Macaca mulatta: one gene and its partner. The protein of the gene in region 1 interacts with the protein of each later gene in a pairwise test. Links are inferred from orthologs where the notes say so. Each region holds a gene or a part of one and is shown on either strand. Other genes may lie near its edges.

Region 1 (3,054 bases):
CTTTCTAGCTTATTTTTTTCTTTTACATTTACAATAATTGGAATTTTGTCCATTTGGGGGCAGTTGTTTTAAAAAAAAACAAAAAACTAAGGAACTTAATTTGACTGTCTTTTGTTTAGCATCTACTTTATAATGCTATTTTATCATTATAATAGGTTTTCCGAAATTCTCTGTATGCACCAGATTATTCATCTCGTTTAGATATTGTACGAGCAAATTCAAAGTCACCTCTTCAGAGATCACTGTCAGCTAAGTGTGTATCTGGAACAGGACAGGTGAGCAAGAAACCATACTCTTAAAGGAATTTGAGCTGCTGCCTTTGGAATTGTTGAGTTCTAAAAATGTTTCCCCTCAGTCATACCACCTCAGGTAATTTACCTTCCCCTGGACCTATTTCCTCTTCTATAATGACAGAAGATTGCACTAAGTTGCAGCTCTGTTATTTCTTAAGTATCTTTTATACTGTAATTACATATTACTCTCTAAAACATAACACTTCAGAGCAGAAGTGGAAAAGACAGAAGAATGCTCATGCAGATGTGTTATCTTCTATAATATGAAGAGCATAGATTCTGAAGTCAAACTTAGGTTTAAATCTCACTATCAAGACTTAGTGGATCTGATTAAATTATAAAGTTAAATACCAAATTATACCAAAAAATGGCTTTTACTGAACACAAAAATCATTTTTGTCTACATCCAGAAAGCCTGAGTTTCCCAGTATCTAGAGCAGGGGCTGACAAACTTTTTCTGTAAGATGTGGAGACTAAGTATCTTAGGCTTTGTGGGCCATATGGTTTCTACCCCAACAACTATAAATAACAACTATAAGTAACACATAAAGCAGTATGACTGTGTTCTAATAAAATTCTATTTACAAAAGCAGGAGGCTGGCTGGGCCACAACTTGCCAAACCCTCATCTAGAGAGCTATGCCCTTTTCATATCTAGCTTTCAGAATATGCAACTCAACAAACTATTTTCAAAATACAACTTTTAGGTAAATTTCATACCTTCTATTTTCATTTGATTCTCCTCTAAGCATTTATTTTGTTTTATATGTATCTCTCCCCCAACCCAATTATATTTTTATTATTCCAGCATTAAGTGCTTTGAACATAAATTCTATAAATTTACTTTTATAGTCCATATAAAGTTTTGCCGGGCACAGTGGCTCACGCCTGCAATCCCAGCACTTTGGGAGGCCGAGGTGGCTGGATCACGAGGTCAGGAGATCGAGACAATCCTGGCTAACACAGTGAAACCCCATCTCTATTAAAAATGCAAAAAAAAAAAAATTAGCTGGGCATGATGACAGGCACCTGTAGTCCCAGCTACTCGGGAGGCTGAGGCGAGAGAAGGGCGTGAACCTGGGAGGCGGAGGTTGCAGTGAGCCGAGATTGGGCCACTGCACTCCAGCCTAAGCAACAGAGCGAGACTCCGTCTCAAAAAAAAAAAAAAAGGTTTTGACTACAACTAATAATGTTACCTTAGCTAACACTTGTATAGCACTTTAGAATGCATTATCCCAGGTTTCTCAACCTCAACACTGCTGACTTTGGGACAAATAATTGGGCCCACCAGGAAGGAAGAAGGGGATGGAATACTGTCCTGTATATTGTGACAATATTAGGCAGATATTAGCATCCCAGCCTCTACCCACAACATGCCAGCAGCACACATAAACACACAGCCCCAATAGTGACAAACAACAGTGTCTCTAGACATTCCCAAATGTCCTCTGGGTTAGATACAATCACTCTCAGAGAAGTTTTAAGCAACATGCCCTATGTGGCAGCAGTCAGGCAACTTAAAACTGGTGAGTTCAGATTCTCAACTCATTCCATTTAAATCACACTACTTTTACATCAGTATTTCTGTCCCACTGCCTAGCTGAAATATCCTTCTATTTTTGCCATCCATTTTATGATTCTCAAATGCTGTTTTTGTGACCCAAAATTTATTTTTAACATTCATAATATACTAAGTCTATACTTTTAAAGTAGTGTTTCTGAAGTATTGATGGCTATCCAACTAAAATCAAATGGCTAATTACACATTTTTATTCAAAAAATATCATGAATGAAAAAACTGGCCTCTGACCTTAAAATTCATAGGGAATTGTCACTACTAAAAATTATGACATGGACTTTTTTTTGAAATATTTGTTGTGTGCCCTTTAATAGCATAAAAAGATACCAAGCATGTAAAATTTTTTTAAGTTAGTATTTTTATTTTAAAAAGTGTGTTGACTTTTAACAGGTATCCACTTGTCGACTAAGAAAGGATCAACAAGCAGATGATGATGAGGATGAAGAGTTAGATGTTACAGAAGAAGAAAATTTTCTTAAGTAAACTACACATTTCCATTTTCATCATAAATGACATGGAATCCACAATGACTAAACTATAGAACTTTATACTCACTTTGATATGTTAAGCCTCAAAGTGAAGTCCAACTGGAAACAGAAAAATAATTAAAGGAAACTTATGCTGACCAAAAATGAAGGCTTTAAAAAATATTACATACCAGTCATTTCAACATCCTAACTAGTGTTAGGTGATTTTTGTGTAAGTACCTTTTTTTTCCAAAGATGGTGTATTTCAAAGTATTTCATATTAATGTACTATATCTACTTGAAGTTCCAATAGTACATTATGACAGAAACCAAAAGATCTAACAATTCTGCTTAGCTTTTTGGTTAAGACTCCATGCTTTCATTACCAGAAAAGGGTCCTATGTAGTCATTCTGATTACATGTAATTCTATTCCATGAAGCCTTAAGAAAAAATATTTTTTTTTTACTTTCCCTTAAAACTTTATCATTTGATAAGTAAATTTACTTTTCAAGAGTATAATCAAAGAATAAAGATAATGTGACACTAAGATATCAATGTGTTATGAATACACATAAGGCATACATTTCAGCTGTAAAAAAAAGCCACATTCAATCTGACTCTGGTTTTAAAACAAAACTGTCATACTTATACATGATACTGCAACTTTTGGAAGGCTAATTTAGTGGAATGTTGCCTCATCACAGAACACCATAAA
Region 2 (4,500 bases), on another chromosome or scaffold:
TCCATAGATAGAACAGCCAAGAGTAAAATTTTAATTTTAATTAATTCAAATTTTGGCTGGGTGCAGTGGCTTGCACCTGTAATACCAGCACTTTGGGAAGCTGAGTCAAGCAGATCACCTGAGGTCAGGAGTTCGAGACCAGCCTAGCCAACATGGTGAAACCCCCGTCTCTACTAAAAATACAAAAAATTAGCTGGGAGTGGTGGCGGGCGCCTGTAATCCCAGCTACTCGAGAGGTTAAGACAGCAGAATCGCTTGAACCCGAGAGACCGAGATTACGCCACTGCACCCCAGCCTGTACAACAGAGTGAAATTCCGTCTTAAAAATAAATAAATAAATAAATTTTGAAATGGAAGCAGTATAAATTTAGAAATACTGATTATATCTTGAAATAGTAATGTTTTAGACAAATGGAGTTAAAACATTACTCAAATTAATTTCACTTGGCTTTTTTTTTTTTAACTTTTAAAAAATGAGGCTACTAGAAAATTCCAAATCACATATGTGGCCTGCTTTATGTTTCTATTGTACAATGCTGAGCCAGACTGTGAAGATTTTAGTTCTAGGACATGGAAGTCTCCCCTCTTTTAATGCAGGGTGGTATAGTCGGAAGAGAACTGCGCTTGGAGCCAAAGACCCCTGGGTCCTGCCCTTCACTAGATGGATGCCTTGGTACACCCACTAGGCAGCCGGTAAACTCCTTGAACGACCTAAGTTTCTTCACTTATGAGATGGAACCAATAACACGCTGTTAGGACTCTAGGAGGCCTGGAGTTGATCGTCCAGTAGTTCTCTGTCCGTTGCTCACAGTGCGACTTTTAAGTAATCCCTGGGCCTCGGCTTCCCTTGCTTGTAGAAGCCGCCATAAGGGCATGGAGAGGGGGCAGACTGCCAGGGGTGGGTCATGGTGCGTCTGTCCGTCCATCTTACCTGAAAGCATCGGCGGAATTTGACGCACCCGGGGCCGGTCCCGCCACGGGTCCCTCAGTGGATCCCGCAAAGTTCTGGGTGGGCCCCCGACACTCGGTGCCCCAAACTCACAGCAAGGGGTGCCCTTTGCCTTGTGCTGAGGGAGGAGGAGGGGAGTTGGGGAGAGGCCCATTTTGCTACTCTGACTCCAGGCGTTCTCCAGGCAACGCCGGCGCGGTCACCACTTTCGCGTTTCCCATAACAATGGAAACGTCGTGAGCCGCCGCGTTGTCCGCTAGACGCCGTTTCCATGGTGACAGCCCCGCCGGGGGCCCAGACCAATGTGTCTGTGGGGAGGGTGAGTGCAGGTCGTGGTCCTAGCCTGTAATGGGAGGCACGAAAAGGACCCCGGAAGACACTGCCTTTGTATAATCCGTTTACTATCCCGAGGTGATTCACGGAGTTTCTGGGGATTCGCGCAGGCTGGCGCTGGGAACCCCCGCGCCGGTGCCCCCTTTCCTCGGTGGTAGAGGCCGGGCGGGGTGGCGCATGCGCGTGGCGGGCTGGCGGCAGGAGGCGGGTGGGTCAAGGTATATCTGTACTACAGAGTCCCTGATCGGGGGTTTCGGGGAGCGCTTGGACCCTGGCTTCTGGGACGCGTCAGGTACGTCTCCGAGTCCGGCGTCGCCGGCCAGCACGGCCTGGGTTCACGTGGGGGCCCGAGCTGGGTGGGACGCCCGGGCCTCGCCTGGAGAGAGGCGTCGGGAGGGCGCGGGGAAGGGGGCGGAGGCCTGGCGACCCCGGGCGGTGGCCGCCCTCCTCTGTGTGTCTCCGCAGTTGTGAATTGGGGCGGTAATTCCTCCCCGTAGGTCGCCGTGAAGGTGATTGCATGAGATCGTGCGTGTGAACGTTTGTTGACAGCTGTTACTTGAGTCCGACAGCCCTGGGGGCCGTGCACCTGCGTAACATGGCTAGCTCTGAACTCCTTGGGGGACACGTATACTTTTGAGAATCCGATGAAAGCCAAAGGTTCCTCCCTTGTTTTCTTAGAATTAAAGTAAGATAATATATTTCATGGCCTGTTGCAAACAGAAAACCTTTACACAATGATTAGTGATCAGTATCTGTGGATTAGGGAGGCCCCACTTACTTGATCCTCTTCCCAGGGTCGTTGTGAGGATCAAGTGCACAGCTTCTTATAAACACTAAAACACTATAACATCTTGTGAGCCAGGTACTATTATTATTCCTCATTGCAAAGAAAGAAGCCGAAGCCCAAGGAGGATAAATGCTGGGGTCGCACTGTGGGTGAGCAGCAGAGTGATCATTGGAAGCCAGGTGCTCCCCCTTCACTTCCTTTGTGCCGAGCACGCTCGCCCCCCGGAGTTTCACTAGAAAGAAGGTCGCCATCGGCCAAGGGAACAGCTTGTACCTCAAGTGCACGCGGATGCCCCAGAATCCCAGGATCTCAGCCGAGCTGTTTGTGGATTATTAGATCTGACTTAAAAGGTAGCTAATCCAGACCCTTCCTCATCTGTAATATATAGATGACAGTTCCCAGCTGTAGTGTTATGAGAATTAGTGCGGTCATGAGTGAAGTACCCCAGTTAAAGCCCGAGAAGTAAAGCAGCTGGACCAAGGTCTAGCAAGCAACTGAGGGGCAGAGTCAGGCCCGAAACCTGGTTGTGTCCAGCCCATGTGCTCAGGCCCAGTGCAATTAGCGTCAGTGGGGACTTGGCTTATTTCTCCTTCTTCAAATGTCTCTAGGTGCTATGAGTGCTGGGGGCTGCTTTTTTTTTTTTTTTTTGAGATGGAGTCTCGCTTTGTCGCCCAGGCTGGAGTGCAGTGGCGCAATCTCGGTTCACTGCAAGCTCCGCCTCCCGGGTTCACGCTATTCTCCTGCCTCAGCCTCCCGAGTAGCTGGGACTACAGGCACCCGCCACCGCACCCGGCTAATTTTTTGTATTTTTAGTAGAGACGGGGTTTCACCGTGTTAGCCAGGATGGTCTCAATCTCCTGACCTCGTGATCCGCCGGTCTCGGCCTCCCAAAGTGTTGGGATTACAGGCGTGAGCCACCGCGCCCGGTGGCGGGGGGCTGCTTTTTAACTGTGTTTTGTTTATTTTGTTCATAATACATGAATATATTCTCATTGTAATAATTCATTAAATCTCGAGTATATTTAATATAATTTTATATTGTACCATATGAAATTGTCACAATTTGACCTTTTTTTGATCTATAAAATGACAATTTCATTCAAGCCAGTCATCCTATTCCCTTTTTCAGGTTTAACCACTATGAGCAATTTGGTGTATCCTTCTAGATCTTTCTTTCTTTTCTTTTTTTTTTTCCTTTGAGATGGGGTCTTGCTCTGTCACCCAGGCTAGAGAGCAGTGGCGCGATCTTGGTTTACTGCAACCTCCACCTTCTTGGTTCAAGCGATTCTCCTGCCTCAGCCTTTCAAGTAGTTGGGATTACAGGTGTGAGCCACCGCGCCCAGCTTAGGCCTACAATTTTATTATAATAATGTGCCACAAATTATTTGGCTACACCCAAATTGTTTGGATTGTTTCTTATTTTTTACTGTTATCAACAATAGAGAACACGGGGTGTGAGCATGTCCAAGTCTTTCTAGAGTGTAATATTTTAGAAGTAGATTTGCTGTCCAAAAAGTGTACACATTTACAATTTTGCCAAGTTTTATTTGAGTGACCTTGAAAGAATTATAGCATCTTCTGATTCTACCAGTAATAACAGTGTCTTTTTCTTCACATCCTCATCAACCATGGGTATTATTCATCTTTTTAATTTTTGCCAATATGATGAATGAAAATGCATCTTTATAACGAATTTTTTTTTTTTTTTTTTTTTTGAGACAGAGTCTCGCTCTGTCACCCAGGCTGGAGTACAGTGGCCAGATCTCAGCTCACTACAAGCTCTGCCTCCCAGGTTTTACGCCACTCTCCTGCCTCAGCCTCCCAAATAGCTGGGACTACAGGCGCCCGCCACCTCGCCCGGCTAGTTTTTTGTATTTTTAGTAGAGACGGGGTTTCACCGTGTTAGCTAGGCTGGTCTCGATCTCCTGACCTCGTGATCCGCCCGTCTCGGCCTCCCAAAGTGCTGGGATTACAGGCTTGAGCCACCGTGCCTGGCCCGAATTTTTTTTTTGAGATGGAGTCTCACTCTGTCACCCAAGCTGGAGTGCAGTGTCATAATCTCAGCTCACTGCAACCTCTGGCTCCTGGGTGCAAGCAATCCTCCCACCTCTGCCTCCTGAGTAGCCCCTCCCGTGTGCCTCCACAGGCGCACACCACCACGCCCAGCTAATTTTTTGTATCTTTGGTAGAGACAGGGTTTTGTTTGCCATGTTGCCCAGGATGGTCTTGAACTCCTGGACTCAAGTGATCTGCCTGCCTCTGCCTCCCAAAGTGCTAGGATTTATAGGCATGAGCCACCATACCCAGCCTGGGGTAGGCAAACATTTTAAAAATAGAATACGAACACTAATCATTAAGAAATAATAGTAAATTGGGCTGGGCGCAGTGGCTCACGCCTGTAATCCCAGCACTTTGGGAAGCCGAGATGGGT

The links.
Region 2: the proteins of CIBAR1 (region 1) and CBY1 interact in binary tests that used the Homo sapiens proteins (3 or more experiments, as listed by UniProt). The two-hybrid records come from large-scale screens. The link is inferred for Macaca mulatta from reciprocal best matches to the Homo sapiens genes CIBAR1 and CBY1.

What each region holds. Positions count from the first base shown.
Region 1 is NC_133413.1:104,121,285-104,124,338, forward strand, and holds the end of CIBAR1 (CBY1-interacting BAR domain-containing protein 1), read left to right. Parts: intron 1-155; coding exon 156-275; intron 276-2,211; exon of another isoform or gene 2,212-2,261; coding exon 2,262-2,354; 3' UTR 2,355-2,493; downstream 2,494-3,054. UniProt on the Homo sapiens protein: Plays a critical role in regulating mitochondrial ultrastructure and function by maintaining the integrity of mitochondrial morphology, particularly the organization of cristae.
Region 2 is NC_133415.1:12,868,450-12,872,949, reverse strand, and holds the start of CBY1 (protein chibby homolog 1), read left to right. Parts: upstream 1-1,457; 5' UTR 1,458-1,459; coding exon 1,460-1,574; intron 1,575-1,779; exon of another isoform or gene 1,780-2,419; intron 2,420-4,500. UniProt on the Homo sapiens protein: Inhibits the Wnt/Wingless pathway by binding to CTNNB1/beta-catenin and inhibiting beta-catenin-mediated transcriptional activation through competition with TCF/LEF transcription factors.